Mus musculus: one gene and its partners. The protein of the gene in region 1 purifies or fractionates together with the protein of each later gene. This does not show direct contact. Links are inferred from orthologs where the notes say so. Each region holds a gene or a part of one and is shown in the gene's direction. Other genes may lie near its edges. The genes, in order: Mphosph6, Exosc9, Exosc3 and Exosc5.

Region 1 (8,150 bases):
ACAACCATCTGTAATGCATATAATTCCCTCTTCTGGTGTGTCTAAAGGCAGCTTCACTGTACTCATAAACATAAAATGAATAAATATATCCTTAAAATTAAAAAGAAAGTACTTATCCATAAAGCCTGTGAAACCATGTCTATACCTCTGCACAAGTAGCCGACAGAACTTAATAAGTAACCTATTAGGAGAGCAGGAGGACGCACTGCACTGCTTCAGGTTTGAGGTGGGTTGCCCTGGACTCACAATTTGCATGTTCCTGACAGCCAGCCAGCCGGTAAGTACCTGTTTAATGAATGAGTCAGGGAAGCAGGAAGAAGGAGCACAATTTGTGAGGAGAGACAGACTTGATATTGGATATTATGCGCCTCCCAATCAACACTTAAATTCCTCTAGGACTGTCTCAACAACGCCCTCCCCTTCCCTGCCTCATTTGGGTGTCTGTCCTTGCCACTGCCATTTTGGGCGAACACAATGACTGTCTCTTCTTGGAGGAAAGGCAGGACTTCTCTTTGAAGCATTACTCTCCCCACTATGAAGTCTCTCGCCTCCCGCTGGGATTATAAATCAAGTCCTACCCTAAACCAGGACAAATGGAGACCCTCCTTGACTTTGAAATTGTGAGCAGAGTGCCTTAAGAGCTGAGAAATCTGCTGGTGTTCACCCAGTGACAGTTTACATTCATCCCTGCTTCCAAGATTCCTTGGTGGTCCTGGCTGCTGCCCTTTTTTTTTCCCTTTGTTCTTAAGCCCCCTCGTCAACTCTAGGAACTACGGGGTATCCCAATAAATCTGTTTTGTGTATGCCCCTTCATAACTGGTACTTGGAAACAAACAAGCAAAAGTAGCAAGTGGGACTTAATATACCATCTGCCTCAATCTCTGCATGAGAGCATCCTCTGCAGGCCCCAGACTCTTCTCCCCCAGCTCCCGCACGGGGAAGGTGTGTGCTGCCACAGCAGCTCTGAAGTCAGTACTGCAGACATGGAGAGAAAGGGTGGGAGGACTCAATATGGAGAGAGGAGTCCTCTTCTTGATGGATCCAGTAGTTGGCCTTTACAATCCCAACCAACTTCATCATGACATGACTCGGAACCATGTGAAGACCTACTTAGGATATTTCTGACCACAAAACAGTGATTTCTTTATTGTATTTAATCACAACATGTTATTGAGTAGAGCATCTATCCTGTGTTCTATAATCTAGTACCATCAAAAGATTAAGGAGTTATCTTCCCTGTGGGGAGCAATTCAAAGCCACAATTACACTATTAGTCTTAAATTACTACTCATGTATTACATTTGGAGAGGTAGGACTTTTGGGTATTCGTTTTAAGTATTTGCAACACCAAATAAAAATACAGAATGTTTTTAGTTGACTGCTTGAAAACTTTGGTCTTTATCTCTCAAACGAGTGCTGAAGAATTGAGACAATAGCATCCCTGTTTCGGGGAAACAAATCAAAACCCAGTGCTCAAGTAGACTAGAAATAATGGAGGTCTGAATGAAGTTATGGAGCTTGGCCAGCCGTTGATGGTTGTACACATGCTATTACATCCACAAAGGACGATGTTTTCCTCTTCTTAACCCAAAAGGACTCATCCTTCAAGAGTTAACTCAGACACCCTCGAGCTTCCTGGAGATTAAGTCACCTTTTCTTCTCCTCTGTCCTCAGGCACTTCTTTCAAAATCCTACACAGTAGCCAAGGTCAGAATTCTAGGAAGTGGATTAGCAGGTATGATTGTGTACTGTTTGCTTGGTAGAGTTTCAGATTTGCAAAATGGGGAGTGGGTGACCTGCAGCTACAGCACACAGCCCTGGGAATGACTGGGAGGACTAACTAGTCCTTGGCTAACTTGTAGGATGTAAAACAAGGCCAGGAGTGGAAGTCGACTAAGTCTCAGGTGTGTGCCCACCAAGTCTCCGGGTCTCAACCTGCTCTACCTTACCAAACCTTTTAGCATAGCTTCACATCCCACAAATCCTCCTTTTTCTTTTTATAGGAGGGGCATCACTGGAGTGTCTAGAGTGAAAATTTAGGGTGGGGTGGAATATCAAAATAAAACACAACACCATAAGCCAGAGGGGTAACAAGGGGTGGGAGCTAAGAAAACAAGGGATTATTGAAACAATTAAATGTCATACCATTTGGGATACACTGCCTTTGCCAGGCCAGAGAGGCTCAGGGACTCTTGCTATGCCATCTTTGGTCAGCAAGCTCTTGTCACAACTGTAACTTATAGTTACATGATACTTCATTTTTCTATGGTCACCATAATGAAATACTACAGGGGTGGGGTGGGAGGGGGTGTTGGGTGTCGGCTACATGTATTTCTTATAGTCATGACCAAGGTAGTAGTAGTTTTGGCTTCTCTGGGGCTTCTTTCCTTGGCGTGTAAATGGTCTTTCTTTTAGCACACACACCTCTGGTGCACTCAGAAGTTTTCATCTTATGACAGGAGGCTGAAGATTTAGCTAAGTGGTAAGCTTAGTGTGTGGCTGTAGGTTTCGTCTACAGCACAGGGGAAGAAAGGCTACCAGCCACACTGGATGTGGGTTCGTCCTAAAGGTTGTCTCTTGAAAAGCCCTGTCTCCAAACACAGTCACATTTTGAAATAATGGGGGTCAGGACTTCAGTATTTGAATGGAAGGAGACATAAGTCTGCCATATATGGTTAGTCCGGTAACAAGATAGCAGGATTTTTATTTATTTTATTTTTTATTTTTGGTACATTCTACCACCAAGGCTTCATATAACGATATTTTCTTGACTTTCAAGCCTTCCCACTTTGATCTGAAGAGGGCCACCCTGGATTAAATTTAAAGTGACCCTAAAAGTCACTGGCTGCAGCCATTTTCTTCCTTCCACGGTATTTACTGCTTTCTAATGTAGCTCCAGGAAAGGGTGGGAATGTGTCTTTAGCCCCTTGGTGCTCACCCATGTCTCACTGACAGTTATGAGTAAATGTGTTTCTGTAACCACTTAACACATTATGTCTTTATTTACTCCACTGAGAAAACCTGCAGGGCGTTTAATATCCGGAATGCTTTATGAATCTCGACTTTACCACTTCTCCAGCGGGTTGCTTATTACATGCCAGTGATGTGTCCTTCCGTATACTTACGAGGTACGGCACCACAACTTGTGGAAGTCCATTCTGCCCTTCCATCACGGGGGTCCCGGGGATCAAACTCATGTCCTCCTCGGGCTTGGCAGCAAGTGTTTTCACCCATTAAACCACCCCTGGCCCCTTCACAAGTTGTCGCCTTGCGTACAGCTCTTGCTAGTTCCTGCCATTCTTCCCATTCCAGAAGGAAATCCTTCAGGCTCCAAGATGCACAGCGAACAGGTGTATGCATATTCATCAGTCTTCCACGGTTTGTGTGCAGCCCTACAGCTATCACGCAGCCTGGGTTTGTGACCACCTCCTTCACTCTGGGACAGAGCATAGCGACACCAGCGGCTCAGGGCTACTGAGAGTTCTAGAAAACACGCTTCATAGAAAGCCACCATTCGTATTTTTAAAACTTTTAAACTCTGGCAGCAACCTCAGCGGCCTCAGCTAGGACCTCAGCAAGGAACTTCCAGACCGGGTCGTTAGGGAGTCCTCGGGTGTCGTGGAGGCCCCGCCTACAGCTCCAGCGTCCTCCCCTTAATCCGCCTTTCCTGAGTTTAGCCCTGGGACCCTGAATCGCAGTCGCCCCGCGGTGGCCCGAGCTCTTACCACAGCTCTTTGCGGAGAGACGCGCTCCGGGAGCTGGAGAAGCCAGAAGCAGCTCCGAGCACTAGGGCGGGGCAGCGCGATGGGTGTGCCTAATCGGGGGCGTGGCAACGGCGCGGGGGCGGAGCTAAAGCTCTGCCACGCCTGTAAGCGACGTGGCCCGGGCGGGTCTAGAGCGTCGTCTTATCTAGCTCCGCTCTTGACCGTGCGCAAGCGCAGTGCGGCGGGAAAGCCTCTGCAAGTGCGTCCAACATGGCGTCGGAGCGCAAGACTAAGTTATCCAAGAACCTGCTGCGCATGAAGGTGCTGAGGTCGGGAATGCTGGGTTGTCGGGCGGGGAGGCTGCTGAGCTCCGAGATGTTCCGTAGTGGGACTCGGGCCGAAGCGATGGGCAGACTGGCTCGGGATGGCCGCGGCCAGCGCACCCCATTCATTCGCTCAGCCTGCGGGCCTTTGGGCACCAGGGGTGAGATTTTGCTTAGCCTGATGTGGGGAGGGAGCCTGCACAACGTTCATCAGAGCCTGCAGAGTTGAGTGCTGTGGTGGCTTTAGTGTCTGGGCCGCCTGGGAAGTTAGACTTCTCGCGAGAAGTGGTCCCTAAGGAGGAACAACGTGAGGGATGGCAGGTAGTGTCCTAAACTGAGGGAAAGTGAGTCCAGAAGCTAAGAAGGAGAAAATCAGGGACGTTGCAAAGAACTAAAGGTAGCTCGGACGTCTGAAAGACAAGGAGCATAAAATGAGGCTGGAAATCTTAGTGGTCACACATCCAAGGAATTGTAAGCCAGGCTGAAGTTTTGTTCCTGTTGCCTCATGAGCAGGAGGAAACTGTTTTCTGAGTTAATTGCTTTTTGTTTGTTTGTTTGTTTGTTGGGGGGGGGGGGGGTCGAGACAGGGTTTCTCTGTGTAGCCCTGGCTGTCCTGGAACTCACTCTGTAGACCAGGCTGGCCTCGAACTCAGAAATTTGCCTGCCTCTGCCTCTCCCAAGTGCTGGGATTAAAGGCGTGCGCCACCACGCCTGGCTAGTTATTGTTTTTTTAAGGCCACTTTAACTGAACTGTGGATGATGGTTAATCAGAAAGGCCCAGCCCAACAACGTGAAAGCTCACAGCCAAAAGGATGAGCTAAAAAAGTTCCTGTGTTCTGGGTGAAGGTTGTCTTCGTGGTGGGAATGGAGAAAATGTTAGTGGGGTGAAATGAGTTCTCCACTAACTTTTAAACAAAATGAGTTTCCCTTTGTGTGTGTGCATGCATAGCTGTATATATACCATGTGTGTTCAGGTGCCTGCGAAGGCCAGAAGAGAGTGTTGGAGCCCCTGAAACTGGAGTTTTAAGTCAGCAGGTATGAGTACCAGGACTTAGGCAAGAGTCAAGGGTGCTCTTAGCCACTGAGCCAACTTCCCCAGCCCATGATTTTTAAATTTGAAGTTGAGCCAGCTGAAGTGGCTTTGATGGCACACATTTGTAATCCCAGCACTTGGGAGGTGGAGGCAGGAGCTTAATTTGTGGCCAGCCTGAGCTGGATATGAGACCCTGTCTCAGACATCATTAAAACAGAAGCAGCTTAACCACAATTTAAAAGGGGTTAAAAGCGGATGAACACAGGAGTTAAGACAGGGAAAAGCTAACTCTTGAAGCTTAAATAATACTAATAGAACGTATTCACGGTCCTCCCAATATTCCGGCATTGTTCTCCGTGTATATACTGAACCACTTAATTCACATAGTAACATTTGAAGGAGTTACAGTTGTCATCTCTGACACCTGAGGTATCTGAGACAGAAGTAACAGCTGAAAAGACTGGTCATCTGGCCCCAGAGCTTCTGCTTGTAATGATTAGCCTGTAGCACCTGTCTCTAACACACGGGGAGCTTGATTACAACGCCTGACTCAACAGTATTATAAACATGTGTTTAACAGAGCTGTCCTACCTACCAAGCGGTATAGTTTAGCTACACAGTACACTATAGAGTTTCAGTAGCTTACCCCAGGATGGTGTAGCTGTCTGGGAGCTGTGGCCCACTGTGCCCCAGCAGCCTAATAGAGTCTCCTCTTACATATGGCTAGCCCAGGAAACAGCATTCCTAGTAGTGTTTCTAATGGGTGGTAGCAGATCCCCACCATCTTAAAGGTGATTTGATTCATTAAGCCTCACCATGTGAAGTTGTGGTCTGTCAGTGCTTATGGTGAAATGAAAACTCTCTTAGAGAACGTGTTTCCAAGAAAAGGAAGGAAGGCATAAACGGGTGCTGTGTCGAGGGCCGGGGAGTGAGCATTCCCCCATGAGCTTTGAGTGCAAGCTGAGCTGGGATGCTATCTGGCCTAGGTATTTGTAAATATATTTGAGTCTCAGAGTTGTTATTTATGGGAGCTTGGGGCCCAGAGGAAAAACCCAAGTTTATAGAAAACATCATACAGCAATGCTTCATTAATCCCAGCACTGAAGAGGCCTGTGAGGCAGGTGGATCTCTTGCGTTCAAGGCCAACCTGGTCTACATCCTGAGTTCCAGGACAGACAGGGCTACACAGTGAAATCCTATCTGGGAAACCTTAAGAAATAAACAAGCAAACAAACAAAAAACCCTAGACAGTTACTGATGGAGCTGGAGAGCTATAGTTTCCCAGAGTCTGCTCTGAACCCTCAGTTTTGAGGGAGGTGAAATTGCTAGTTTTAGAGTGTGTTCTGAGGTCTTCCGAACCCTAGACATGCTTGGTTCACAGCCATGTTCTTATCCTCTGTCCAGTGTAGATGTGGGTGACTGACTGACTGTGTGCCTTCATGTATCCGCTAAGGCGAAATTGAAGATAGGAGGCAGTTAGTCAGGTTTTGCCACCAAGAATGTAAGGGGCCGTGTGAGGCACCTGTACTTTGAACCACAGGGTCACTAATCCAAGGGTCACTGGTACTCAGGGAGTCGTTTGTCTGCCGGGTGCCCTGGTACCTATGGCTGGCCACCCATGAGCCAGGGCACTGACACGGGCTTGCTCCTGTCTTAACAGTTCATGCAAAGAGGCCTGGACTCGGAAACCAAGAAACAGCTAGAAGAGGAGGAGCGGAAGATGATCAGCGACGAGCACTGGTACCTGGATTTGCCGGAGTTGAAGGAGAAGGAGTAGGTGACTGGGGTTCATGGGGGAGGGGAAGGTGGGGGAGGCTAATACAGATGAGGAGTGTTGCGGGAAATATTAAGACAAACTCTCAGCGGGGGCCAGGCCACGCTCCTGCAGCCTCCAACTCTCTGGAGTTGGCCCCTGCGCCACGTGAGCTCATGTCTCTCTGGCCCCTTGAGGCCACAGGGCTCCAGCCGGGCCATCTCTAGAATACACCTCCCCTCCCCCAGCCCAGTTCTTCTCACTTCCACTCAATGCTCCGCACACCCCACCTAATTACCAGGTAGAATCAAGACTTTGTTGTTGTTGTTGTTGTTGTTTTGGGGTTTTTTGGTTTTTTTCAAGACAGGGTTTCTCTGTGTACACAGGGACACTCTGTGAGTGTCCTGGCACTCACTTTGTAGACCAGGCTGGCCTCGAACTCAGTAATCCGCCTGCTTCTGCCTCCCAAGTGCTGGGATTAAAGGCGTGCGCCACTACCACCCAGCAAATCATGACTCTTAAAGCTTAATTACCTAATCAGATTTATATAACAATAGAAATCACAATTTACAAGAAGCCAATTACAATACTTTCAGAGCCAACTGATAATGATAAAGCCTTTACCCCAGTTATTCTAACCTTGTGAAAATCTTAGCTACCTGTGGCTGTTTAAAACCACACGGGATCAGGATCTTCTTCCAGTCCCTCTGCCTCCATTTTGGCTTCTCCTCCTGACAGTCCCTCTGCCTCCATGTTGGCTTCTCCTCCTGAGACCTCTGTATCTCCCCAACTCATAGCTCCACCTCCCTTCTCCTGTCCAATCACAGGCTTCCCACTGTCCTAATGTGATTGGACAGGGAAAATCCTGCAACATTTCACCCTTTCTGTTTAATTTAAAAAATATAAATTTCTCAAAATATAAATTAAGCGCAACTACTACCATTTTTGTAAATTATATGGTATAAGATAGACCCAATGTCCAGTCCAACATTTTGAACACTGTCTTCCATCCTAACTTAAAAGACTATAGTTCTGCACCTGGCTTTAGATTGTCTGTCACCTGAAAACCACCCTCTTAAATCTGTTCCTTACAAAGTAAAAGGCTTAAACATCTCAGGTCAGATTAAAATAACAGTTAAGAGGGACTGGGTCTAATCCTTGTACTTAACAAAATTTTGCATCAAAATAAATTATGTCCCGGTCCTCCTGGGCCTTCTGAGTGCTGAGATTGCAGCGATGGAGCACTGTGCAGTGGCTTGGACATAATAGCCTGTTTAGTCTTATTTTTCCAGTTCAGTTCCAGAATTTTTGTTAATAACCTGTGACTATATTCATAG
Region 2 (7,574 bases), on another chromosome or scaffold:
GTTGCTACTTCATAACTGATTTTGTTGTTGTTATAAATTGTAATGTAAATATCTGATATGCAAGAAACCTGATATGTCACACACACACACCCCAGAGTAGTTGCAACTCCCATGTTTAGAACTGCTGTTCTAGGGTCTGGCAAAGGAACCCAGGCAAGTGAACAAAGATTCATATTACTATTTTTAAGCATTAAATGTAGAAATTAAGAAAAAAATAAATTTTACGTTTTGAATTTGGATAAAACCAGCAGTAGTACTCAAACCCAGCCACATATCAGGATCACATGGAGGATATTAGAAAATAGAGTGCCGTGTAACGTCTACTATAAATATTAAATACTAGGGAGAGGCGTTAAGTCATATTGTAACTGAAGTTTATAGCTTTTGGACAAATGACTTGTCTCTGGGTCTCATTGTATCTGTATATTAGGAAATTATTTTATTACTGGCACCATAGAATAGAAGCAACTGAAGTGTTTGTGTGTAAGGGTCTGAATACCAGGTGCTCAGCGAATGTCATTTCCATATTGTCCCCAGCACCATTGGTATAGGATTGCAACCACTATTGATTCCTGTGGATTATTGTCACAGAAAGGAAGCCTGTATTCCTGAGCACACTTTATCTGTGATCTCTGTAATTTATATATATTGTCTTACTTGTGTTTATTGCGCCTTAATTTGGTATTTGGAAAAGAAATGCTTAAACATTAAAGGTAGAAAATTGATGTCATGGTTTTGGGTTCATTTAAAAAAAGCTGTTTGATTTGTTGTCTGTAACATCCTGTATTTGTAAACAGGTTTTCAGATGCAGTAAAATAGCTGGTGTGAAAGTAGCAGAAATCACAGAGCTAATACAGAAAGCTTTGGAAAATGACCAGAGAGTCAGGTAAGTATCATTTTTCAAAATTATATGCTCTTTAAATTCATGTTTTATGAGATTTTCTCATCCAAGGGCAGCCATATAATTTCGTGCTTGCTCTTTAGTTAATCTCAGTTGTACATACTAGTGTTTAGTTGAGACTTTATTCTGAAAAGTTACAGAAGTGTCTTCTTTAAAAGTTAATATGTTCTTATGAAAGAAGAATCTAATAAATTAATAGAACAAACATGCTGGTTTGCCGCTCAACTTCCTGTTACTTTAAGCAACTTCATGTTCTTCTTCTGTGGGAGCTGTGCCTTCCCCTACAGCTGACTTGAGAACTGGAGAATATACTTCAAGTACCTCACGCATGTGCAGCCGAGTTCCAAACAATCGTTATGATGACTTTTATGTCTCGGTTACTGTGGTAGTATTCTAGTGGTAAGGGACCTGGCATTAGGCTTCTTCACTACCCATGTAGCATTCTCTTAGTCATGGAACTCACCCAGAGCCAAGGAGCTACAGCAGATCCAGAGGAATACTGATGTCAGCCCACAGGCCTATGCTTAGCTACGTTTCTTAGACAGCCCAGGACCACCTGTCCAGGGAATGGTGCCCCTCACAGTGGTGTGAGCCCTCTTCCGTAATTAACAGTCAGGATACTCCCTCACTGATAGTTTTTGGTCTGGTCAAGGCCTCCCTTCTCAAGTGACTCTAGGCTGTGTCAAGTTTAGTTAAAGCTATCAAAAGTCTAGTAATGAAGCAAGTCTATTTACCTATCAAGGACAAAAATTAATTTTTTTCTTTTGTCTTTTTATCTTCAAAACCACCACTACCAAAATTCCATCTACAGGAAAGAAGGTGGAAAATTTGGCTTTGCAGAGTCTATAGCAAACCAAAGAATCACAGCGTTTAAAATGGAGACGGCCCCTATTGATACCTCCAACATAGAGGAGAGAGCAGAAGAAATTATTGCTGAAGCTGAACCTCCCCCAGAAGTGTAAGTGTATCTTTATTGGGTGGGTTTGTTTTTTTTTTTTAAGATTTATTTTATTAATATATGTAAGTACACTGTAGCTGTCTTCAGACACTCCAGAAGAGGGAGTCAGATCTTGTTACAGATGGTTGTGAGCCACCATGTGGTTGCTGGGACTTGAACTTTGGACCTTCGGAAGAGCAGTCGGGTGCTCTTACCCACTGAGCCATCTCACCAGCCCCTATTGGGTGGGTTTTACAGTAATCAGATGCATAAGTTTTTTGTTTTGTTTTGTTTCTTTAAGGCTAGAGTGTACATATTGAAGTTTGTTTTGGGGGACCCCATACTATAAGAGAAAAATATGCCAAACTGAGTTAATAATGTAACATCTAGCTTCTCTTCCCTATCTAAAAATCGTACATTTTTCTATTTTAAGAACCAACTAGCCAGGCGTGGTGGCGCGCACCTTTAATCCCAGCACTTGGGAGGCAGAGGCAGGCGGATTTCTGAGTTCGAGGCCAGACTGGTCTACAGAGTGAGTTCTAGGACAGCCAGGGCTATGCAGAGAATCTCTGTCTTGGAAAAAAAAAAACCCAACTAAAAGCTGGGGGATGTAGATCATTGGTGCTGCACTTTTCTAGCTGTTTATGGCCCTGGGTTCCATTTCACCACTGTAAGAAAATACAAACCAAAGCCAGCATTCATTTCCCTTTGAGAAATGGTACTTCAGTGTTAATGACATGGCCAAGTTCTTTATGCATTGTTATATAATCTTGAGATCATGTGCAGTTATGTTATTTAGCAGTCCATAGTATATTAATTCCTAAGAATTTATGGAACACATGAAACAGTCTTCCAGGAAATCTGATCTCTTCTTGGTAGCTCATTAAATAACAGTGTTTTGGATATTCAGTTTTCTTAACTTGTTAAAGTGTTTCTCAACCTGTGCTGTGGACTCCTGGAACTGCCCAGATTGGAGACGGAATAGAAAACTCCTGGGGTGACCTTGAAGATTCTGAGAAGGAAGAGGAAGAGGAGGAAGGTGGCATTGATGAAGCTGTCATTCTTGATGATACAAAGATGGACACTGGAGAAGTTTCTGATATTGGGAGTCAAGGTAGGTGATGCTTTTAATGTGTACAGAGACAGCCACAATTGAGATATTTAAACTATAGACAAAGTTTTGTATGGAGATTATAGATCATACATAGGGATATTTCTTGTTTTGGAAGGCTAAATATTTTAGCATTGAAACTAAATTTTAATTAAACGATTGAATAGAAATATTAATACCAGTTGTAAAGAATGTTTTTATTTTTGTAAACTGGTGGTATGCTTTGGCATACTAGTGATATTTTGAACAATTTTTTAAAATTACATGTAGCCAGGTGTGGTGGCATACGCCTTTGATCCCAGCACTGTGGAGAGGCATAGGCAGGAACATTTCTACATAGGGAGTTTCAGGCAGCAGGATTAGAGATCCTGTCTCAAAAACAAACAAAAATATGTCCATGGGCACTTAAAGATTTTTCTTAAAGATTTCTTTCCTGCCAACAGCCTTGTTTAGTTTGATTCAAATATAAAAAAGCTCATGAAATAGGCCAGAGAGATGGTTCAGCTCTGGAGACACTTGAAGCTCAATCACAATAATCCAGTACTCTCTATAATTCTAGCTCCAAGAAACTGATGCCATCTTCTGGCCTCTGTGGATGCTAGCACGCACACACAGAGATACTGCACAGTAGAATTTTCTGTGGTAAGAAATTATGTACATTGGCTAGGGTAGCAGCTTCACCTATTGAACAATTTTTTTTTTTAAATTTATTATACCTAAGTACACGTAACTGACTTTAGACACACCAGAAGAGGGCATCAGATCTCATTACGAGTGGTTGTCAGCCACCATGTGGCTGCTGGGATTTGAACTCAGGACCTTCAGAAGAGCAGTCAGTACTCTTCTCAGTTAGTTCTGAGCCATCTCACCAGCCCACTATTGAACATTTTAAGTGTGGCTTATCTGAGTTAGTATGGCCACATTGGTATGTTAGAATGTGGGAAACTTTAGAAGCCCCCAGAAAGGTCTTATGTATATGTGTGTGCTCCAGTATGCCAGGGCATGCATAGGGAGTTCAGAGGAACTTGCTGGAGTCCCAGGAAGTTGTGAGCAGCTCAGTATGGATGCCAGGAACCAAACTCTGGTTCTTTTGTAGGTACATGCTTTTAAAGACGTCACTAAATGTGTGCTACCTATGTATGAAATGAGTGCCTTGAAGGCTAGAGTCAGGCATCAAATCTGGAGTTGCAGGCAATTGTGAGCTGCCCCCATGTGAGTGCTATTCCCTGAACTCATAGCAGTATGCACTGTTAACAGAAGGGAATTGCTACTTACAGCCTTTTGGTGGTATTGTTTTGGCAGGGGAACAATGTTGGTTTAACCAGATAAATGAGTAAATTAAAGATCCTAATTAATTAGGACTATTAAATGCTGCATAGAGAATCATCCAGTTGGTTTAATCATCAGTAATGCTTTTTCTTATCTTCTCACTATTACGGTGCTAGTATATCTTTGCACTTGTATATCTCTTTTCATAGAGGCTTTTTGTTTGTGGTTTTAAGAACCCTGAGCAATGAAAGTGGACCTAAAATAAGTAGGACAGTGAAGAAGGTAGAGCTTTCCTAAAACATGTGAATAAAGATGAGACAACACACAGCCCACCAAATGGGTAAAGGGTTAATTTGCATGCTTTATTTACACACATATATAATTACTGTTCAAGAGAAAAATGGGCAAACAAAGCAGTTTTCTACATTTTTCATGGGCAGTCCTGGTAGCAAGAATTAGAGCATTCTGGCCTACATGTCCTCTGGGGAAAAAGGAAAGAAAGAGTTTATAGAAAACATCAATTTTTACAAATTTTCAGAGCTGCAAGGAGCTACTTACTTAGAACAGGGTAAGATTCGGAAAGAGTGTCAGCCTCCGGGCAGTAGAGCTTGGGAGCTCCCTTAGCCTGGAGATGGGAGCGTTAGGACCTCTGATGTGCTTAAGCAGTAAACTCCTTTTTTGGACTTTTCCAAAGGTGCCCCTATAGTGCTATCAGATAGTGAAGAAGAAGAAATGATTATTTTGGAGCCAGAGAAGAACCCAAAGAAAATAAGGTAACAAATTTCTGGCCTCTTTCAAATATACATTAAAAGCTGGTTCTATAAAATGGGGCACCTTTCAGAGTCCCAGTGACCCAATCCAGGACAGATGGGATACAGTGAGCTGTTATATTACTTCATTCACAGAGCTCAGACCAGTGCAAACCAGAAGGCACCAAGTAAAGGCCAAGGGAAAAGGAAGAAGAAGAAGAGAACTGCTAACTAAGCTAAAGTGGTGGATCTCTGTGTGTGTGTGTGTGTATACATACTCAGTGCTAACAGCTCTGGGTATCTTACAAGCTGAACTTCTTGATACACTGTTTGTCTTTAACATTATGCTTTGAATAAACTTTCTGGAAAACTTTTCTGTTGCACAAGCTTCCCAACTCATGTAAGACCTTATTTGTTAAAGTTGATAAATAAAATGTCTCCATAAACTACTGTAACATCTGAGAGCCGAATGAGTTCTGCTACATTGAAAACAGTTTGTCTACTTTTGGTTATTTATGAACAAGTCAGCAGTTTGGTTTGGTTGCTTAGAATAATCAATCAATGCCAGAATTTGAAGGTCTTTTTCCCTGAAATATTTTAGTTTTATAAAATCTTTTCCTACTCCCCACTGTACAATAAAACAAATCAAGTTAGTTTCTAAACGACATCATTCATATTTTTATCTCAGATTAACTTTGACTTGCAAAGATTTCCAAATCAGTTTATTCTCAATATCTTGACAGTTGGCAGCACCAATGTTAACCAATTAAAATTATCCAAATAGACACATGTACAAAAGATATACAAATTAAAACCATTTTAAAAGCAATGGATACCATAATTTGTCTGTGGCTATACCATCTACATTCAGAAGTGATTGTGAAACTAAAACCCGACATAAAAACTGTACAGCATGGACTCCGAGCGACTCCTGTTTCAAACAAAGCCGGCAGTCTTTCACTCACACACTTAGTGTCTCTGGTGGGTTGAGAAGAGAAACACTGTGATATCTGTTGAGCAGAGAAAAAAAAAACTTTTAGTAAACATTCATTGGGGAGATTACAGAACAATTCATGTACCCCAAGACTGGAGAAATGCTACTTTTACTTGATTATGAATTTAAAAACATTTGATACGTAGAGCACATACATCTGCCCCCTTACCCTTCTCTTACCAGAAGCAAAGGCACAAAAGCTTCCTAATACATGACTTAAGAGCCAACTGAGGTAGTGGCAGGTTACTGTATTCAACAAGAATTGGATTCTTACTTTGAATGCTTGTACTTTTCCCGTATTGACTGTTGGGCATGTTGTGGCGCTTTGAGGTAGGTCTGGTGAAGGTCCACAAGACAAGGCTTAAGACTCTCCAGGGTATATCCAGTCTGTTGTGCCAATGACTCAGGCTAGGGAAGGGACAACCATTGAGTTTTTTGTAACAGCACAGGGCACTGACCACAAGCTCACAGTTGATCTAAATATTGGCACTAATCATTGACAGGATGTTTTGTTATTTCTAAATGTTGCTCCCTCCTCAATTCTTCACTCAGGGTGTCCCCCCTGTTTCAGCTCACTCACTCCATCTTTTATTTTGGCTGTTTACTTCCCCTGCTTGCAGCAGGTGGAAGGCTCAGATTCTTGAAGCAGAGCTTTCAGTGCACCTTTACAGCTAAGCTTTCAGCCCAAATCAAAGCGGCACCCATACTGGAGAAGGCAACTGGTAATACACACCCAGCTCTGTCCTGTGACTGTGTAGAGAGCCAAGTGGAAGGCAGCTCCAGCAATGAGTGAAGGCAGGTACTTAAGGTACGGGTCAGCATCTATCAAACTCAGTTCTCCCAAAAACTGAAATAAAAAACAAAACAAAACCCCAACTTTTATAATCACACATAAGACTCAAGATTTTGAATCCTTGCTTCCTGACCAGTTTCCATTGTCTTGGATCTCACTGGTTCTGTATCAGCCCTGGGAAAATTATTTCAATGTTTTCCTCTATTCTCAGCTTACATTTCTCTCCCCTAATATACTAGGTTGTTCTCTTTAAGCCACTAGTTAGCGCCTTTCCAGCATGGTCACTTTTGTGTATTCATTGGGAAGTTCTCTCCTGAACCTCTCAGCCCCTATCCATGGACACTAGATACTTAAATCTCTTACATATAAAAGATGCATGCTATTTTCATAAGTTAATGCTATATACATAGAATATCACTGAATTACTTGTAAAACAAAATAGACAATACACATATGATTGGTGTGTGCTTATCCAGTACATGGGCAGCTACGTTTAATGCCTGTTTATTATACCATAAGTGCAGAGCCCACAGGTAGAGAGGGCCATAGCATTTTCTGTGTATTGGAGCATTAACTGTCCGAAAAGACTTAAGCAGTGTTATTTGACGAAACCAGTGCTTGCCCCTTAATTGCAACCTAAAAACAACCCCCAAACTGGACTTACCATTGCTAAGCTTTCAACCTTACAGTTTGCAGGCTGCAGGTGCAGGAAGTACTGGGTAAGGAACTGATTTACTGTTGGTGCAGCCAAGTCAAAAGCAAGGACTTTCAATACTAGGTGCTCCATTCTCAGAACCTGCTTCTTGGAATAGGTATCGTC
Region 3 (8,088 bases), on another chromosome or scaffold:
TTTGAAATCTTATATATGGTCAAGTTACGCTCAGTGTGTGACACAGTCTCCTGCTCCCTGCAGATCCAGATGTATAATTCCTGGCTCCTCCAGCACCATGTCTGCCTGGAAGCTGCCATGCTGCCCTGCCGTGATGATAATGAACCAAACCTCTGAAACCGTAAGCCAACCCCTGTTAAATATTTGCCTTTATAAAGAGCTGCCTTAGTCATGGAGTCTCTTCACAGCAAAGGGAAAAAAAAAAACCCAACCCTAATTAAGATAGTAAGTAAAAATAGTTTTGATTAACATTTTATACCTAATACTTCTCCAGCCACAATCCTGAAGAGTATATCTAAAAAAGTATCGTCTTTGAAGGCAGAAAAAGGAATATGCTAGCACATACTTTTCCTAACATCTAAACTTATAGTCTAAGTGGCTTCAACCACTCTGAAATCCGGTCTGTAGCTACTATTCTCACAAGATGCAAGCACATCTTGGTTTTCTGGCTAATATAGTAAACTAACTTACGACTTGTTCTGAGCTTATTTTTTCGTGGTGCTGTAACAGATATGTGTGAGTCCCCTTGAGAGGATAACTGTCCCCAGTGTTGAGCTGTGGTTCCTTTTGCCTGAAACATTAGAAGTAAGCAATGGAAAGGAAGCCCGGGGCTCCATTGTTCCAACTTCCGCTTTGCAGCCACACCTGAAAACCTGAATTCTACCCAAGGAAGAACTAATGTGGTAGGCGCGAAGTGACAATTGCAAGTAGCCCTCTACCTCTCCACAAAACATATGTAAAAAACAAACCAAGAGAGAGAGACAGAGACAGACACAGGGGATAGCAGGAGGAAGGGACGGAGACGGAGGGAGACGGAGACAGAGAAACTAAGACATCTAGGAAAAGCTTGAAAAGCTTCGGTTGAGATCCAGTTTTTCAGGGTGGTAACACTCGGCTGCCTAAGTAGGGATGAAGGCCTGTGGTACTCAAACCCCCAAATGGCCTCCACTGCAAACTCAATATAGACGCAGCTGAGTCTACCTGGGCAACTCAGGGAAAAGTTGCACAAGCCAGACTGAGAAAGAGGTACCCACATGGCCTATACTGTCTTTTAGTGTTCTCTTTATTCTCCAACGGCCACAGCCATTTACACCACCATTAAAAAAGACCTCCTGTCGTTTCGAGACTTCATGACTATCACCACTCCCGAATCCAGAGTATCCCTCTTGCTGCTGAATTCCGAAGAGGTTATAAGCCAGGATGCTTTGAGACAGACTCTTAACTGCACGCAGGTGCGCTACCGCAGGAACCTGAGGATTCGAAGTACAAACTTGGCAGGGCTCAGGCGACAAGCCTTCCAGCTCGAGGCCCTCGCGGGCGTGTCCGGTGGGTGGTGCTTGCAAGGGCCCGCCTTTTCTGGCCTTGAGTCTCCAATGACTTAGCCTCCTTTGTTTTCTGAATCCACGCGTGGGCTACCTCCTGCCCCTTTGCTAAAAGAAGTGCACCGGGTATGGCTCCTGCCCTAGATTTTGTATTCTATTTCCTTGGGAAACTCCAAACTACCTAGGGTAGGTGCTGAGGACCAGTCCTGAGAATGAGCAACGTTCATTCTCCTTCTCCACCTTTCAGAGGCCTGACATCACTGAATACACCAAAGGCATAGCATTGAGCCATTGAATTAAAGTGGGCTTGGTTGGTTAGTCACAGAATACCTATCGTTTTTTGAGACCTGAGTTATAAAGGAAGAAAGAAGCATAATTTACCTCTGCCCAGAGAACGTCTCTCTGTGAGAGACTAACCAAGTGGTACAGTCTAGGGGGCTTGAAAGGAAAAAAAATGGCGCTCGACAGGTGGAAGCAGAAACCTCTCAAATGCAGACGACATAATCAGCTGTTGAAGAAAGCTCTTTATGAGGAGTGAAGAAAACCACAAACTGGACACCAAGAAAAAGACCCTTTTCAAAATACATAGGGGATTCAGCACCCCAAATCCAATCTTTTCTGGAGAACTGGCGTTTTTAAAGTCTTTGAAGAGTCTCTCCCCCCCCCCTCCCCCAAATGTAGGGTTGGTCGATTTGAATAAAGAATTGATGGTGAATTAGGCCAGAACTGTTGTGTAATGTGTCCTGTGCAGGCCTTGAACTTGTTCAACCGGCCCATCAGCAGGGGGCTTGCTGTTGTTGCAGGTGAGAGTTAAAAGTGTGGGGGTCCCTGCAAGCTCTGCTGCCAGCGGATCCCCAGAAAGTAAGAAGTAAACGTGGTTCAGCATGACTTAGCCGGGCTGGTACAAACTTCGGGAGTCTGACTCCAGTTTATTTTTATTTATTTATTTATTACTTATTTAAACAGTAAAACTTTCAAAAGAAAAAAAAAAAGGTTTTCTTGTGACAACTATTACCACAAAGCTTAGGACACGGTTATATCTAAACTCCCTTGCAAAGTGCATGTTTTCTTGAAAAGCACCATGACCTCTTCCACAAGAGTGGGTTCTGTTGACTGAGAAAACATGCTCAGGAGAAGAGCCTAGGGAGGAAAGGTTTTTATAATCATAATAGCAAACTCTTTTTCAAATCCATGAGATCTCTCTTATAAGGATGGAGTCTATGGACTGGAAATGCTCAGGAAAAGGGGGATTCAGGTGAGAGCTAGCTCCACAGAATGGTAAAATTACCTGGTATTCAACAACCTCCATTCCAGCCTTCCAAGTGAATAGCTGTCAATTTCTTCCATTGAAGAAAAAGATCTGCATGTTTAACAATTCTGGTTTCTATAGGACTACCTGGAAGCACATGCCCTCCTACCCTCTACACAAAAGCCTACACAGCCTTTTTTTGAGGCTGCTAAGCTTGTATTGAGTTAGGAGGTTGAGGTTGAGGAAGAAGTTAGCCAACTTGACAATTCATCACCTGTTACCTAGCCGTGGCTCCTCTCCTTATCTGCCTACCTCGGAGTCTTACTCTCAGTCTTTCAATAGCACTAATTAACAACTTGGCTGGGGCACTTGTATTTCAGTTGTCCCTTATATCCAGGGATTAAATGGCTTGCCAGCATTTTACCAAATTTGCAGGAATTGTGATGCCCCTTCCCTAAAAAAAAAATCTATAAACTCGAGTTGGCAGCAAAGCATCAAGCAACTGATCTCAGTCAATGCCAAGGCCTTCAGTGCTGTTGGAGAACTGAATCAATTACTCATTGAAGATGCCGACAGAGAAACGCTGGTTTCACAGATAACCCCAAAGTCAGAAAACTGTAAGTTCTTAAGTTCTTGCACATTGTGGGTTTTGGATTTAACAGTTTCTCACATAGCTGTTAGTGTGCTCCCAAAGAAGTAGCTGGGAGAATTCCTGAGTTACCGATGTTCCCAAGCCACTGAAGAGATGAACTCAAGTAGGTGAAAAGGTGTGATGTGTGTGGGAGGAGGTGGGAGATTGTTACATTAGGTACCGTGAAGCTACAGACACAGGGCAGGGAGTAGCACCCATGGGATGAAGCGAGTATCTCCCAAGCTCAAGTCCAACTCAGAAAGCCCACAACCACCGGAAAGAGATGACCCTGGTGGGCGGGTAGCGGAAGCGGAAGTAGATACCGGAAGCTGCGATGGTGACGCCTGCCATGGCTGAAGTACTGTCCGCGGGACCGGAGTCGGTGGCGGGCTGCCGAGCACGGGCCGTGCACAAGGTGCTGAATCAGGTGGTTCTCCCCGGGGAGGAGCTGGTGCTGCCGGACCACGAGGACGTAGACGGCCTTGGCGGCGCCGGGGAGCAGCCGTTACGCCTGAATGCGGGTGCGCGCCCGAGGCTGCGCGTAGTGTGTGGCCCAGGTTTGCGACGCTGCGGGGACCGTCTGCTGGTCACCAAGTGTGGCCGCCTGCGTCACAAGGAGCCCAGCGGAGGCGGCGGCGGCGTTTACTGGGTGGACTCGCAGCAGAAGCGGGTGAGCGGATGTCGGAGAGGCGGCGCTGCCGCGAAAGTGGGCCCCCTGCAAGCGATCATAGGTTAAGGCGAATCTAGAGCCGCGGTGGCTTCTAGCCCCCTCTCTGCATCTTCTTTAGAGGAACCACAATAGGAACACATCCTGAGAAGGGTGACAGGAGAGAAAGGTTCCGTGAGATCTTGTCTTGAAAAACCCAAAGCCTCGGGGTTGCCATTTGGTGTCCCAGTTGCAATGAGTCCAAATAAATCACAGGGAATTAAAATTCCCATAGAATAATTAAGAGCTTTCACTTAGGAATAATGTCAAATGGAGTGGGTTTCCTTGAATGTAAAGATTCTTGTGCCACCAGACTTGTAAAGGATGCTGAGAAAACTTGAAACTTGATCAAGTGTGAATTAGACGTTCATAAAGTTGGACTGGTGCGGGCCGGTTTTGTAGTTGCAGCTACATGGGGAGTATGAGTTGGCTGGATAGGTTGAGACCCACCCTGATCAACCTAGATGAAAGTTTCAGAAGATATTTTGTAATGATATTTGTATTATTTATGACTGTTCTTTCATTCTGCTTTTAGTATGTACCTGTGAAAGGGGACCACGTGATTGGCATAGTGATCGCTAAATCTGGAGATATATTCAAAGTTGATGTTGGAGGGAGTGAGCCAGCGTCTTTGTCTTACCTGGCATTTGAAGGGGCAACTAAAAGAAACAGACCAAATGTGCAGGTAATAATGGGAGTCTTTGGTTTCAACAAGAAAAAATATCCACTCCCGAGAAAGTTAACTATCCAGAGGGCTACTTGAATTGTCTTCAAAGCATAAACCAGTTCTCCAAGACAGTTTATAAGAGTTTCTCAGGCGCTGCGGCTCCAGAAGTATTGCTGTATGTCATGTTTGCAGCCTTGGTTCTTTTCTACCGGGTTGAAGAGTTACATCTGCTATCCCCCTCCTTACCTGTCATGTCTGAATCCACCCCATGAGGAAAATGGCCCTAGTCTAAGGGCCATGGGCACTATTGGCTATCTGTTCATCATGGCTCTAAATCCTTGGAGCTGGAGCTGACAGAAGAGTAATCTTGTTTCTGTAGGTTTTCAGGTTGGGCTTTCTGGGTAGTTTAGCCATGTTCTTCCTGAACACCTGAGCCAGAAATGTGCTGGCCTCTCTGCTGCTTTTTCTTCAACTCTCAAGGGTCTTTAGTCACTCAATCTTATTTGTTCCTTCTCTTATCTTTTGTATGCCAACCCCTTTGTCTCACTTTTGACAGGAGCGGGCAACAATCTTATGAACTCATTAAAAAAAAAAATCTCATTAAAAAAAGGATTGTTCAAATCACACAGAGAGCATTGTACTCAGGGGTCTTTCCTCGTGGTTTCTGTTACTTCATGGAACCATATTTAAGCTTCACAGTGTAACTGGGCTTTGTTTCCTTCCCTTGGGTCTTTATTAATGGTGTTCCTGTTTGGAGCTGTGTCCTCAGCCCTAGGAGACATCACCTTTGAGGTCCAGGCTGACTGAGTTGATGACTGTCTCATCGTCACTTGTCCTGCATATTCACCACACACTGGGTTCATTCTCATTGCCCTGTGCAGGACCACATGCCCAGGAAGCCGGAAAAGGTGTAATGATTCCCGCTAGGTTTTGTAATCACCCACAACAGTGGGGACTTACAAGGCATTTTTAAAGTATGCACAGGAAAGTGTGCCTACATGTATGTTTTTGCACGCTGTGTGACAGCTTCTTGTGGAGGTCAGACAGGAAGGTCAGGTCCCCTGAAACTTGAGTTATGACAGGTTGTGAGCAGCTACACGGGTGCTAGAAACCAAAGCTGGGTCCCCTACAAGAGCAGTAAGTACTCTTAGCCCACGAGCCATCTCCAGCTCAACAGTGGGTATTTTTAATGTTGAAGAGAACAAATTTATTGTTTCCTTAGCTTCATTTTAAAGTTCAGTTTTGTAACATTTTAAAGCAAATTTTCCATGAAGTAGTATCTGAATTACCATTGTCCTGTTTTCTTTTGAATATGGATATCATGAGTTTTTTTCCTCTAGACAAACATGTAATTTGTTAGTACTGATAGAACATTCTCCGGTGATGCTGTTTGTTTTTATATCCACACTGACGTGTGCAGTTACCACTAGTTACGTGTGGCTGCTGAGCAGCTGAACTGTTGAAGAGTGGAATTTTATATATGTTAAGTAGATACAAGGCTAAATTAAACTACATGTAAGTTGGGCAGTACAGTCTTGAAGATTGTTCTTAGGCCTTGGAATGGCTCCTGGTTGGAGGGTTTCATGGTGTGTGGTGGGAGGGCTGAATTCTGAGGACCATCAGTCCCTTAGTGTGACAGCTGTGGGTCCCTGGCATTCTTGCCCATGGATCAGAACCAGCAGCAGCAGCTGTAGGTTGTCTGGATGAAGGGAACTGAACTTTGGTTTTAATCTTACAGGTTGGAGATCTCATCTATGGCCAGTGTGTGGTCGCTAATAAAGACATGGAACCAGAGATGGTCTGCATTGACAGCTGTGGCCGCGCCAATGGGATGGGTGTGATTGGGCAGGATGGCCTGCTCTTCAAAGTGACGTTGGGCTTAATTAGAAAGTAGGTTATGCTGCTTATTAACTGCCCTGCCTTCTTTAATGACCTGTTTACTCTGAGAATTTCGTAATGGTGTTTTGTTGGTCATACTTGCTCCCCATTCTCTGTAACTCCTTCCAGGTTCCTTCCCCACTTTCCTCCCCTCTCCACCCTGTCTCCTAAGTTTGCCCTTTTTAAAGACAAGCCACTGAGTCAAATCTGTGCTGCATGTATATTTGTAAAAAATGGGGCCTACTACCAAAGTGTGACCAGCCTACCGTGAAAGGGGCACTGAGCTGGGCACTGTGTCCCAGCTACTCGGGAAGGCAGGAGCGTTCTCACACCTACAAATCTGAGACTTAGTTTACATGACCTAGGTAGACTTCCTCTCCAAATACAGAGGCATTGTGTGTGTGTGTGTGTGTGTGTGTGTGTGTGTGTGTGTGTGCGTGTGTGTGTGTGCGCGCGCGCGCGCACACACGTGCATGTGCTCAAGACCGGGCAGAGACATCAAAGCAGCAGAGACATCAAGTCTTGTTTTGGGACGATGCTGAGCGGACTTTGCGTAGTCACAGAGAGCCACTCAGAAAGAAATTCCAGAAAAGGAACCTTGTTTAGGAGACCCAGAACATACACTTTATTAAATTTCATTTTCTTTCATCTTTCCTAACAGGCTATTAGCTCCAGATTGTGAAATTGTGCAAGAGCTGGGAAAACTCTATCCATTGGAGATTGTGTTTGGAATGAATGGAAGAATATGGGTCAAAGCTAAGACCATTCAGCAGACGTTAATTTTAGCAAATGTCTTAGAAGCTTGTGAACACATGACAACAGAGCAAAGAAAACAGATCTTTGCCAGACTGGCAGAGAGTTGACATATAAATTTTCTTAATGGATATTTTAGTCAAGACTGAGTTTCCTGGGGAAATTTTTTTTTCCAGGTGAATTTCTTCCTGGCAGATCTTTAGAAGAAGCATATTATTTTACTAGAATTGAATAAAATATTTTTGTAAGAGATACTGGTTGTCAATCATGTATAGATGAGAAAATTATAAAAACTTTTATATAATAAACTTTGTTGGTAGTGTCTATATTTGTAGTTCTACAGTACAGCTTCTAAAGTGAGCTGGAATGCAACACTAAACCTGTTTTCTGGTTATAATCGTAAGCCTTCCTTGCCAGAGGGAATGTTGAACACATTAATGAAAGCAAAGAATAAACCCGTCTGTAATCCCAGAAGCCAGTGGAAGAGTACACAGTAGCTCATACTTAAGCACTCACTGTGTGAGAAGTATTGTCCCAAGTGTTTCACACAGTTACCAGGAATTCTCATTGCTGGTAACTGCAGAGAACACTCAAAGATACTGAGGCACAGACTGTAACATGGCCTGAAGTTTAACCACTGTGTGTGTATGTTTTTCAAATTGGAGTTAAAAGTTGTTGTAACTTATACTCTGTCTGGTCCAAACAGGATATATTTCTTTCATGGCTATTATAAAAAACTTCAGTAATTACAAATATTTCACTTCATAATTAGTATTTTTTATATATATTCAGTTTTTTTTTCCTTAGATGTAATAGTATGATGAAGATTTTTAATCCAAGGCT
Region 4 (8,055 bases), on another chromosome or scaffold:
CACAGAGAGGAACAGGACAGGGGGATCAGGTGCAGGGAGAGCAGGGAAGTCGATGGAAATTGGCAGCAGAGGTAGGGTGGGGGTTGAGTTGTCTTTACAATGTGCCAGAGTCCTGGGGGTGGGGTGGGAGAGGCCCCAGGGAGTCTATGGGGACGACTCTGAGAATATGGCACCTGAAGTGGCCACTGCCTGTGGCCAGGCAGGACTCCCAGTGGAGGGACCCACCCACAAAACCCTTGACCCAGGATGTGTCTTGCCTGCGAGATGTGCAGGGACATGGATGGAGCAGAGATAGAGGGAATGACTGACCAATGACTGGGACCCATCCCACGGGCAGGAGCCGATCCCTGAGGCTGTTAATGATGTTTTGTTATACTTCCAGGCAGGAGCCTGGAATAGCTACACTCAGCAGCAGATGGAAACAGATTCAGAGACACCCCCCCCCACCCCCCCCCACCCCCACCCCCGCCAAGCAGTACATGGAGGGAGCCTGGGGAGTCTTGTGGAGGAGTTGGGGGAAGGACTGGGGGCCCAGGGGAGGATGGTGGCTTCACAGGAAGACCACAGAGTCAACTAACGTGGATTCTGGGGGGGGGGGGGCTCTCAGTGACTGAACCACCAACTAAAGAATGAGCACTGGCTGGACCTGGACACACACACACACACACACTTGTGTGGCTTGTTCTTATGTGGGTCCCCCAATAACTGGAATGGGGGCTGTCTCTGAACCTGTTGCCTGCCTGTGGATTCTTTTCCCCTGGCTGGACCACCTTGTCTAGCGTTGGTGTATGGTACTTCAATGATTTGATGTGCTGGGGAGGTGATAGAAGCTCCCCCTTTCCAAAGGAGAAGGGGGAAAGGAACAGGAAGAGTAGCTGTAAGGGGGGGGGAGGGGCTGGGAGGAGAGGGGGAGCTGATATCGGGATGTGGAGTGAATAAATAAATAAATGAAAAAGAGAAAAAGACACAGTTTCACAATGTAGCCCTGGCCTGGTACTCACAGAGATCTGTTTGCCTAAGTGCTGGAATCAAAAGCATACATCACCACACCAGGTCCTATTCTTTTTAAAAAGAATCTTTTGGGGGGTGCAGGGAGATGGCTCAGTGACTAAGAGCACTGGCTGCTCTTCCAGAGGAATTGGGTTCAATTCCCAGGACCCATATGGCAGTCCAAAACTGTCTGTATGTACGCAACTCAAGTTCTACAGAATCCAACATCTTCATGCAGACCAAACAACAATGCACGTGAAATAAAAATAAGTAAACCATTTTTAAAAATCTTTTTTTTTTTTTTTTGAGATAGGGTCTCACGTAACTCAACCTGGCCTCAAATGCCTCCTCTCCTACTTCCCAAGCGCTGAAATTACAGACATGTGTCGCCATATCCAGATAAACAAACACACAGGGCTAGGAGCCAAACTCTGGACGTGGCGCGTGCTAGGCAAGCATTCTACACTGTGGTGGTACATTGCCAGACCGCAACAGATTTTGGAAGTGTTATCCTGCCCTTATCAACAATGGATCAAAAGGGAATTCCGAGTTTTCTCCAGTGTTTTCAAGAAAAGTGGGCAGCCAAGCACCGTAGCTTACATCTGTAATGCCAGTACTTGGGAGGCTGGGACAGGACTATCTCCAGTTCGATGCCTGTCTAAGCATCTGGGTGAGCTAAAGGCCATTCCGGACTCGTGGGTGAGATCCTGTCTCAAAAAAATAACGTGGGCAAAGGGTCCTGTTTGAACTTGTAGCTCTCTTTGTCTCCCTTCATAATCATCTTGTGTAAAGGACAGTCATGGCAAAGTCCCTTGCCTTGCCTTTTGATCAGGTGGCATAGGAATCAAACCAGTTTCTTGCTCAACTCCCTTTACAGTTGGAATTTAAGCAATGTAGGACCCTATGAAAACCTGATCTGTCCTTTCAACCCCCGTCTCGTCTCCTTCTATCGAGGCCCACAAGTAGCTGCCTTGCTTTTCCTCTAAAGGGATTCTTCCCTTGAATTTCTCTTCAAGAAGTTTCTCGGACCTTTTCTTTCTTTCCTTCACAGCCCGCGGTGTCTCACACAATGTAAGAATAACTTTTACGTCTCTATTTCTCCCTAAGAAAGACCCCGTGGGGCTCAGATACTCACAGATCTAGCCAAGCCCCGAACCCCAGATCGTCCCAACAGGAGAAGAGCAGCCTGGCGCAGGCCACGGCTCGGCCTCCAGATCTTGGCCGCAGACATCACTATCGCCATCTTGGCTAATAACCACTCCTCCTTTCTCACAGGATAGACATACGGCTGTCCCACCAGATGCCTTATTCAAATAGCAGCACCGCTAGGCCAACACGCTATCTGCTTCTAACCACCTTGCGACAAAGACGCATAAATGAGTAAGGTGGCAATTTTTAGTCTCTAAAATTGCTCCGGTCGTCTGCTTCTAGTTGCTCCTAATTCAGGCAACTAAAAGGACAACTTAACTTGAACCTTCAGGGTTCAGGACCCGGAGCCCTGAGCAAAATGGGCCCTCTCCAAGTCCCTCCCCCTGTTCCCTGTTGTCCAATGGCTATGCCAGAATTGGGAGGTGGAGGTGGGCGGGACCAGATTGTTAGTAAACGCTGAGCCACGTGCTAGGGCCAACTCGGGCGTGCCCTAGACGGGCGCATGCGCAATAGGTACGCGGCCGGTAGAACTGCGCGCGCCGCTAAGCGGAAGCTACGGTGGGAGCCGCAGCGCGCGTGGTCAGCGGCTATGGAGGGCGCAAAGCGTGCAGACGCCAATTTACTCACTGACACCGGAACAGAGTCCAGCCCCCGAAGTCCAGTCTGCAGTCTCCGGCACTTTGCTTGTGAGCAAAACCTGCTGTCCCGGCCGGATGGATCTGCTTCTTTTCTTCAAGGTACGAGCCTCACCAAGTTTAACTCAGCGCGCGCCATCCTCACCGAAGAAGGGTTTTTGAAGAGCGGTTACTGTGTAGTATGTAACCAAGTACGCCCGCCTCCTTGAACTTATTTCTAGATGTTGAGTATACCCACCTCCCGTCTCGAGAAGAAATGAGTTGGCCAGCCTGGTAAATCCCTCTCAGAGGAGATCGAGAGCAAGACCACTCTCATAAGAGTGACTATCCCAGAATAGGTATTTCACCAAGGCAGATATTACCCTTCTCTAGATTTCTTTCTTTCTTTTATCTTTCTTTCAAGACTTATTTTATTTATATAAGAGCACTGTAGCTGTCTTCAGACACACCAGAAGAGGGCATCAGATCCCGTTACAGATGGCTGTGAGCCACCATGTGGTTGCTGGGAATTCAACTCAGGACCTTTGGAAGAGCAGTCAGTGCTCATAACCACTGAGCCATCTCTCCAGCTCCCCTTGACTAGATTTCTTGGGTTTTTGTTGTTGTTGTTGTTGTTGTTGTTTTCACTTTGTTGTTGAACTCACTTTGTAGACCAGGCTGGCCTTGAACTCAGAAATCCGCCTGCTTCTGCCTCCCGAGTGCTGGGATTAAAGGCGTGCGCCACCACGCCTGGCTTTGACTAGATTTCTTAAAAAACACTTCTAGATCCATACATCACCGGTTGAGGCTAAGGTGTTTATTTGCATAAATACCCTTTGAGACAGACACATCACCACCACTGGTTTAAATATAATTACTGTGGCAGATGATACATCTAAGTAAGTGCTCTTCAAATTAAATGTGATCTTCCCATCCTGGGCTGAGAAGCATCTCCCCTTCCCCGGTCCCATCATTTAAGAAAACGTGCCTTTCCTTGGTATACACATTTCATCAGACTAAATGAATAGGGAGAAAAGAGAAGTCTTGTGGCTGAGACCCACACAACCCTATATCCCAGTCGGGCCAGCCAACTTTGAGAGGTCATGAGAGGGTGAGAAACTACCAGAGTAGACAGATGAGAGGGCAGAGACAGAGTTGACAATGGTGAGTTTGTTTGAGATGTTAAAGGCTGATCACCTTATGGCTAATAAGCTAGAGGTCATTGCTTATAGTGGTGGGTCAGAAAGAGCGAGAAAAAAAACAGTTGAGACAAGTCTCCAGGCATTTTCCTGCGAAGGAATCAGATAGATGGGGCAAGAGCTGACGACTGATAGAGCTTAAGAAAGGAGAAAACTGGCAGGTCAGTGGTGGCACACACCGTTAGTCCCAGCACTTGAGACACAGATGCAGGGTCTCTATGAGTTTGAGGCCAGCCTGGTCTATAGAGGGAGTTCCAGGACAGCCAGGAAACCCTGTCTTGGGGAAAAAAAAAAAGGGGAGACAGCTCGGGGCTGGAGAAATGGTTTCTCTTACAGAGAACAAAGTTGAGTTCCCAGCACCCATTCAGGCAGCTTTCAAGCACTTGTAACTTGTGGGGAGCCAGGATATTGGAAGCCCTGTTATGGCCTCTGCAGGGAACTATACACACACACACACACACACACACACACACACACACACATAACTTAAAAAGTAAAATAAATACTAGGGGGAAAAGAAGAGAATTTCTGCAGCCACATCATCGAGATGGTGGGAAGAAAGAGACTCCCTTGCTCGCTGAGAGCACAGTCTATCTAGCAGTACAGGAATGTAGCTCTAGTAAGCACCTGAGTCTATTGGGTTACCTCTGGTTTCATTGGAGAAGCACCCACAGATGTTTAGTGTTCTCATCCCAGGCTGGCTCTCAGCTTAGCTCATTGCTGAAATCAGCCTCCCCTATCTCTTGGGATATAAGAAATAGAGAGGGAACCTTCCCATGTTCTAAAACCCTAAACTCACAGGGCCCTAGTGCAAGCTGGAGACTTGGCAGACTTTCAAAAAGAATGTTGCAGACACTTCTGACCTCAAAGGCTCCTGTAAGAACACCCGATGGAGGGGGCTGTGGCTGCGGCAGGCAAGCAGTGCAAATGATGTGTATGTATGATAATGACACAATATCCCTATTACTTGACATTTGTCCTCACTAGGAGTCTCTTGCTGTGACAAGGACATAACCAGAATCAACGTGGCAGAACCTGGCTTTTCATGGCTTGTTCAGCCTGCTTTCATAGATAACCTAGGACCACCTGCCCAGTGGTGGCGCTGCCCACAGTGAGTGGGGGCCCTTCTATATCAGTTGTTGATCACTAAAATGCCCTACAGGATCATGCAGCAAGACCCTGTCTCAAGAAAAAGAAAATGCCCCCACAGACCTGCCTGCAGGCCAGTCTGATGGAGGCAATTCCTCATTTGAGTTTCCTCTTTCCAGGTATGGCTAAGTTGACAAAATGCAAAGCAAAAGAAGCAACTAGCCGGCACAGTAGCTTACCTTAAAGGCAAAAACAAACAAACAAACCAAAAACACCTGATGGTACAAAACCCCTAATCCCAGTACGGGGGGAGGGAGGGCTGGTAGAGGCCAGAGGAACAACAGTTCGTGCCCTGCTCCCTTAGCTACATAGATAGCATGGTCAGGGCCAGCTTTGACCATATAGAACCTGATTTCAGAAAGTACATCGATGAAAACCTACAGAGCCGGGGAAGCTGCCTGTGTAGGCTTGCCATCTTGGTTTTGCCATCTTGTTTTTTTTTTTGTTTTGTTTTGTTTTTGCTTTGGACTTTGCATAAATGTCCCACCTCAGAGTGACATTCCTAAGCCCTTGTTTTTTAAATAACTGTTTTTTTTAAATGGATGTCCCTAGTGCCTGAGGACAGAAGAGTACGATCTTCCCAAGAACTGTGGTTACATACAGTTGTGAGCCATCTCTCCAGCCCCAACCTCTGACCGACTTATACACATACATTTTATCGATTTGGAGCTGTGCTGTAAAGTGTAGTGGGCATTGGGAGTTACAGTCAGAAACATGGAAACTGCTGTTGAATGCAGTGCCTTCACATCGTAGGTGGCCTCTCTGACGCCTGTGGACGTTAGCAAAGTCACACGAGGTCTCCAGACCCATTCATAACCATTTGGGGGAAATAAGTAGAAATTAAGACCCCCTACACATTCACAATCTTTATTGTTTGTCCTTTTAAAATGTATTTTACTAATATATTTTAATTGCATCTAATAACTGTTTTCTGCTTGGCTGGCTTATGAGATGTTCTCCCGTAGCTCAGGGTAGCCCCAGACTTACCATTGGAGCCAAGGATGATTTTGATTTCCTGATCTTCCTGTGTGTCTCCCAAACACTGGGATATGTATATGCGTGTGTGGGCGAGAGCTGTGTGTGCGAGTGCCCATGAAGGCAGAAGAGGGTGTCAGTCCCTTAGAGCTGGGTTTCGTGGTGGTTGTGAGCAGCCTGATAATGGGTGCTGAGAACTGAATTCTAGTCCTCTGGAAGAGCAGTGTGCATGCTGACACACACCACCAGCCATCTCTGCAAACCCCAGCTACCTCTAAAAATTAACCAGTGGCTGAAGTCTGTGGTAAGCTCTGCACCTTCTGGCCAGTGTCTTATATGTTTCAAGTGAACTGTGTCTCTTTAAAGTTGGCATTTATTTCATCTTCTTGTGTGATGTTGGGAGACTGAGGGCCTCCTGCTTCTGTGAGCCACAGTCACCTGATCTTCACAAACTTACCATGAGGAAGGTACTTAGCTGCTTAAAGTTAAGAGAGCAGAGGAAAGAAGTGCTAAGTGCAGCACAGAGCGGCCAAGGCCTCCCTCTTTCCCCCAGGTGATACCTCTGTCCTGGCTGGAGTCTATGGGCCGGCCGAGGTGAAGGTCAGCAAAGAAATCTTCAACAAGGCCACCCTTGAAGTGATCCTGAGGCCGAAGATCGGGCTGCCTGGTAACTGGACTCCACTGAGCCCCCCAAAAGATCCAGTCTGTTGGGACCTCATCTGACCCCTCGATGCTTGCTGTGTCCAGTCTCTGCTGCCCTGCTCTCCTCCCTCTTTGCCCAGCTTTTGATTCTGCTGCACTGGAATGGAATCTAGAGCATCAGGCCTGCTGGGCAGATGCACTTCCAGGAAGCCACAGTCCCAGGCTCTCCAGGGTGGAGTCCGGTCAAGCCCTCTGCTGCTGAGATTAGGCCTCCCAGATCCTCACTGGTGGTCTCCAGACAGGAATTCCAGCTCTGAGCCACACCATTAGCTTTTCCCTAGTGAATTTAAGGCTATGTGGCTAGGCCATGTAGCCAGCCCTGTTAACTCTTTTTTTTTTTTTAAGATTTATTTATTTATTATATGTAAGTACACTGTAGTTGTCTTCAGACACACCAGAAGAGGGAGTCAGATCTCATGGTTGTGAGCCACCATGTGGTTGCTGGGATTTGAACTCGGGACCTTTGGGAGAGCAGTCAGTGCTCTTAACCGCTGCTGAGCCATCTCACCAGCCCCCCTGTTAACTTTTTGAGACGGGGTCTCAAGTCCTCTGAGCTGGCAGTGAGCTCTCTTTATAACCTAGGCTGCCCTCAAATTCATGATCCCACTGCCTAACCTAAAGTCTCGAGATTACAGACCTGTACCACCAGACCCACCCTCTCTTGAGCCTTTTCTTTCTTCCCTTTTTTGCCTTCCTCGCTCTTCCTTCCCATTAACTTGTTTTTCTGCCCTTTTACCACTTCTCCCCATGTGTCATGGGATGGGCCTGCTCTGATGAGAGTAGATATGGCCAGTAGCACAGGACATGGGCACCTCTGGGTATTCCTCCTTGGGTGGCTGGCTGGTAGACCCCTGGCCAAGGTTGGCCATAGCAGGAGTTACTCAGAAACTTGCAGACTCGCCCGCTTTCTCCTGGGAGTGTGTACTCCGACCCGGACTGAGGCTGACAGCCCCTTCCTGAAGTCTCCCTCCAGAGGCTGGACCAAGCAGAGCAAGACGACGGGGTGGAAGGGAAGAGCCTGACCGCTTCCCGTCTCCCCAGGCGTGGCCGAGAAGAGCCGCGAGCGGCTGGTCAGGAATACCTGTGAAGCTGTGGTTCTAGGGGCCCTGCACCCCCGGACCTCAATCACCGTGGTGCTGCAGGTGGTGAGCGACGCTGGCTCTGTATCCTTTCCCAGCCCTCTCCTCCAGGAAGTGGCCAGAACCTCCCCTCCGGCTTCCGTACCCTCAGCCACCCAGGACCTGTGCCAGGCAGCAGCTCCTGCAGAGCATACAACA

The links.
Region 2: the proteins of Mphosph6 (region 1) and Exosc9 purify together in Homo sapiens (affinity purification with mass spectrometry; 5 studies listed by BioGRID and IntAct, with this or other methods). This does not show direct contact. The link is inferred for Mus musculus from reciprocal best matches to the Homo sapiens genes MPHOSPH6 and EXOSC9.
Region 3: the proteins of Mphosph6 (region 1) and Exosc3 purify together in Homo sapiens (affinity purification with mass spectrometry; 6 studies listed by BioGRID and IntAct, counting the BioPlex papers as one, with this or other methods). This does not show direct contact. The link is inferred for Mus musculus from reciprocal best matches to the Homo sapiens genes MPHOSPH6 and EXOSC3.
Region 4: the proteins of Mphosph6 (region 1) and Exosc5 purify together in Homo sapiens (affinity purification with mass spectrometry; 6 studies listed by BioGRID and IntAct, with this or other methods). This does not show direct contact. The link is inferred for Mus musculus from reciprocal best matches to the Homo sapiens genes MPHOSPH6 and EXOSC5.

The regions. Positions count from the first base shown.
Region 1 is NC_000074.6:117,797,727-117,805,876, reverse strand, and holds the start of Mphosph6 (M-phase phosphoprotein 6), read left to right. Parts: upstream 1-3,902; 5' UTR 3,903-3,974; coding exon 3,975-4,025; exon of another isoform or gene 4,026-4,033; intron 4,034-6,720; coding exon 6,721-6,833; intron 6,834-8,150. UniProt on the Homo sapiens protein: RNA-binding protein that associates with the RNA exosome complex. Involved in the 3'-processing of the 7S pre-RNA to the mature 5.8S rRNA and play a role in recruiting the RNA exosome complex to pre-rRNA; this function may include C1D.
Region 2 is NC_000069.6:36,560,306-36,567,879, forward strand, and holds the end of Exosc9 (exosome complex component RRP45), read left to right. Parts: intron 1-797; coding exon 798-886; intron 887-1,712; coding exon 1,713-1,859; intron 1,860-2,767; coding exon 2,768-2,952; intron 2,953-4,559; exon of another isoform or gene 4,560-4,912; coding exon 4,913-4,991; exon of another isoform or gene 4,992-5,123; coding exon 5,124-5,202; 3' UTR 5,203-5,422; downstream 5,423-7,574. Other genes in the region: Ccna2 (cyclin-A2), read right to left, coding at 5,929-5,977, 6,236-6,369, 6,695-6,808, 7,419-7,574. UniProt on the Homo sapiens protein: Non-catalytic component of the RNA exosome complex which has 3'->5' exoribonuclease activity and participates in a multitude of cellular RNA processing and degradation events.
Region 3 is NC_000070.6:45,316,094-45,324,181, reverse strand, and holds Exosc3 (exosome complex component RRP40), read left to right. Parts: upstream 1-3,565; 5' UTR 3,566-3,590; coding exon 3,591-3,911; intron 3,912-4,482; coding exon 4,483-4,632; intron 4,633-6,352; coding exon 6,353-6,504; intron 6,505-7,153; coding exon 7,154-7,355; 3' UTR 7,356-7,569; downstream 7,570-8,088. UniProt on the Homo sapiens protein: Non-catalytic component of the RNA exosome complex which has 3'->5' exoribonuclease activity and participates in a multitude of cellular RNA processing and degradation events.
Region 4 is NC_000073.6:25,656,508-25,664,562, forward strand, and holds the start of Exosc5 (exosome complex component RRP46), read left to right. Parts: upstream 1-2,645; 5' UTR 2,646-2,728; coding exon 2,729-2,876; intron 2,877-6,629; coding exon 6,630-6,743; intron 6,744-7,740; exon of another isoform or gene 7,741-7,819; coding exon 7,820-7,941; intron 7,942-8,055. Other genes in the region: Bckdha (2-oxoisovalerate dehydrogenase subunit alpha, mitochondrial), read right to left, coding at 2,126-2,233. UniProt on the Homo sapiens protein: Non-catalytic component of the RNA exosome complex which has 3'->5' exoribonuclease activity and participates in a multitude of cellular RNA processing and degradation events.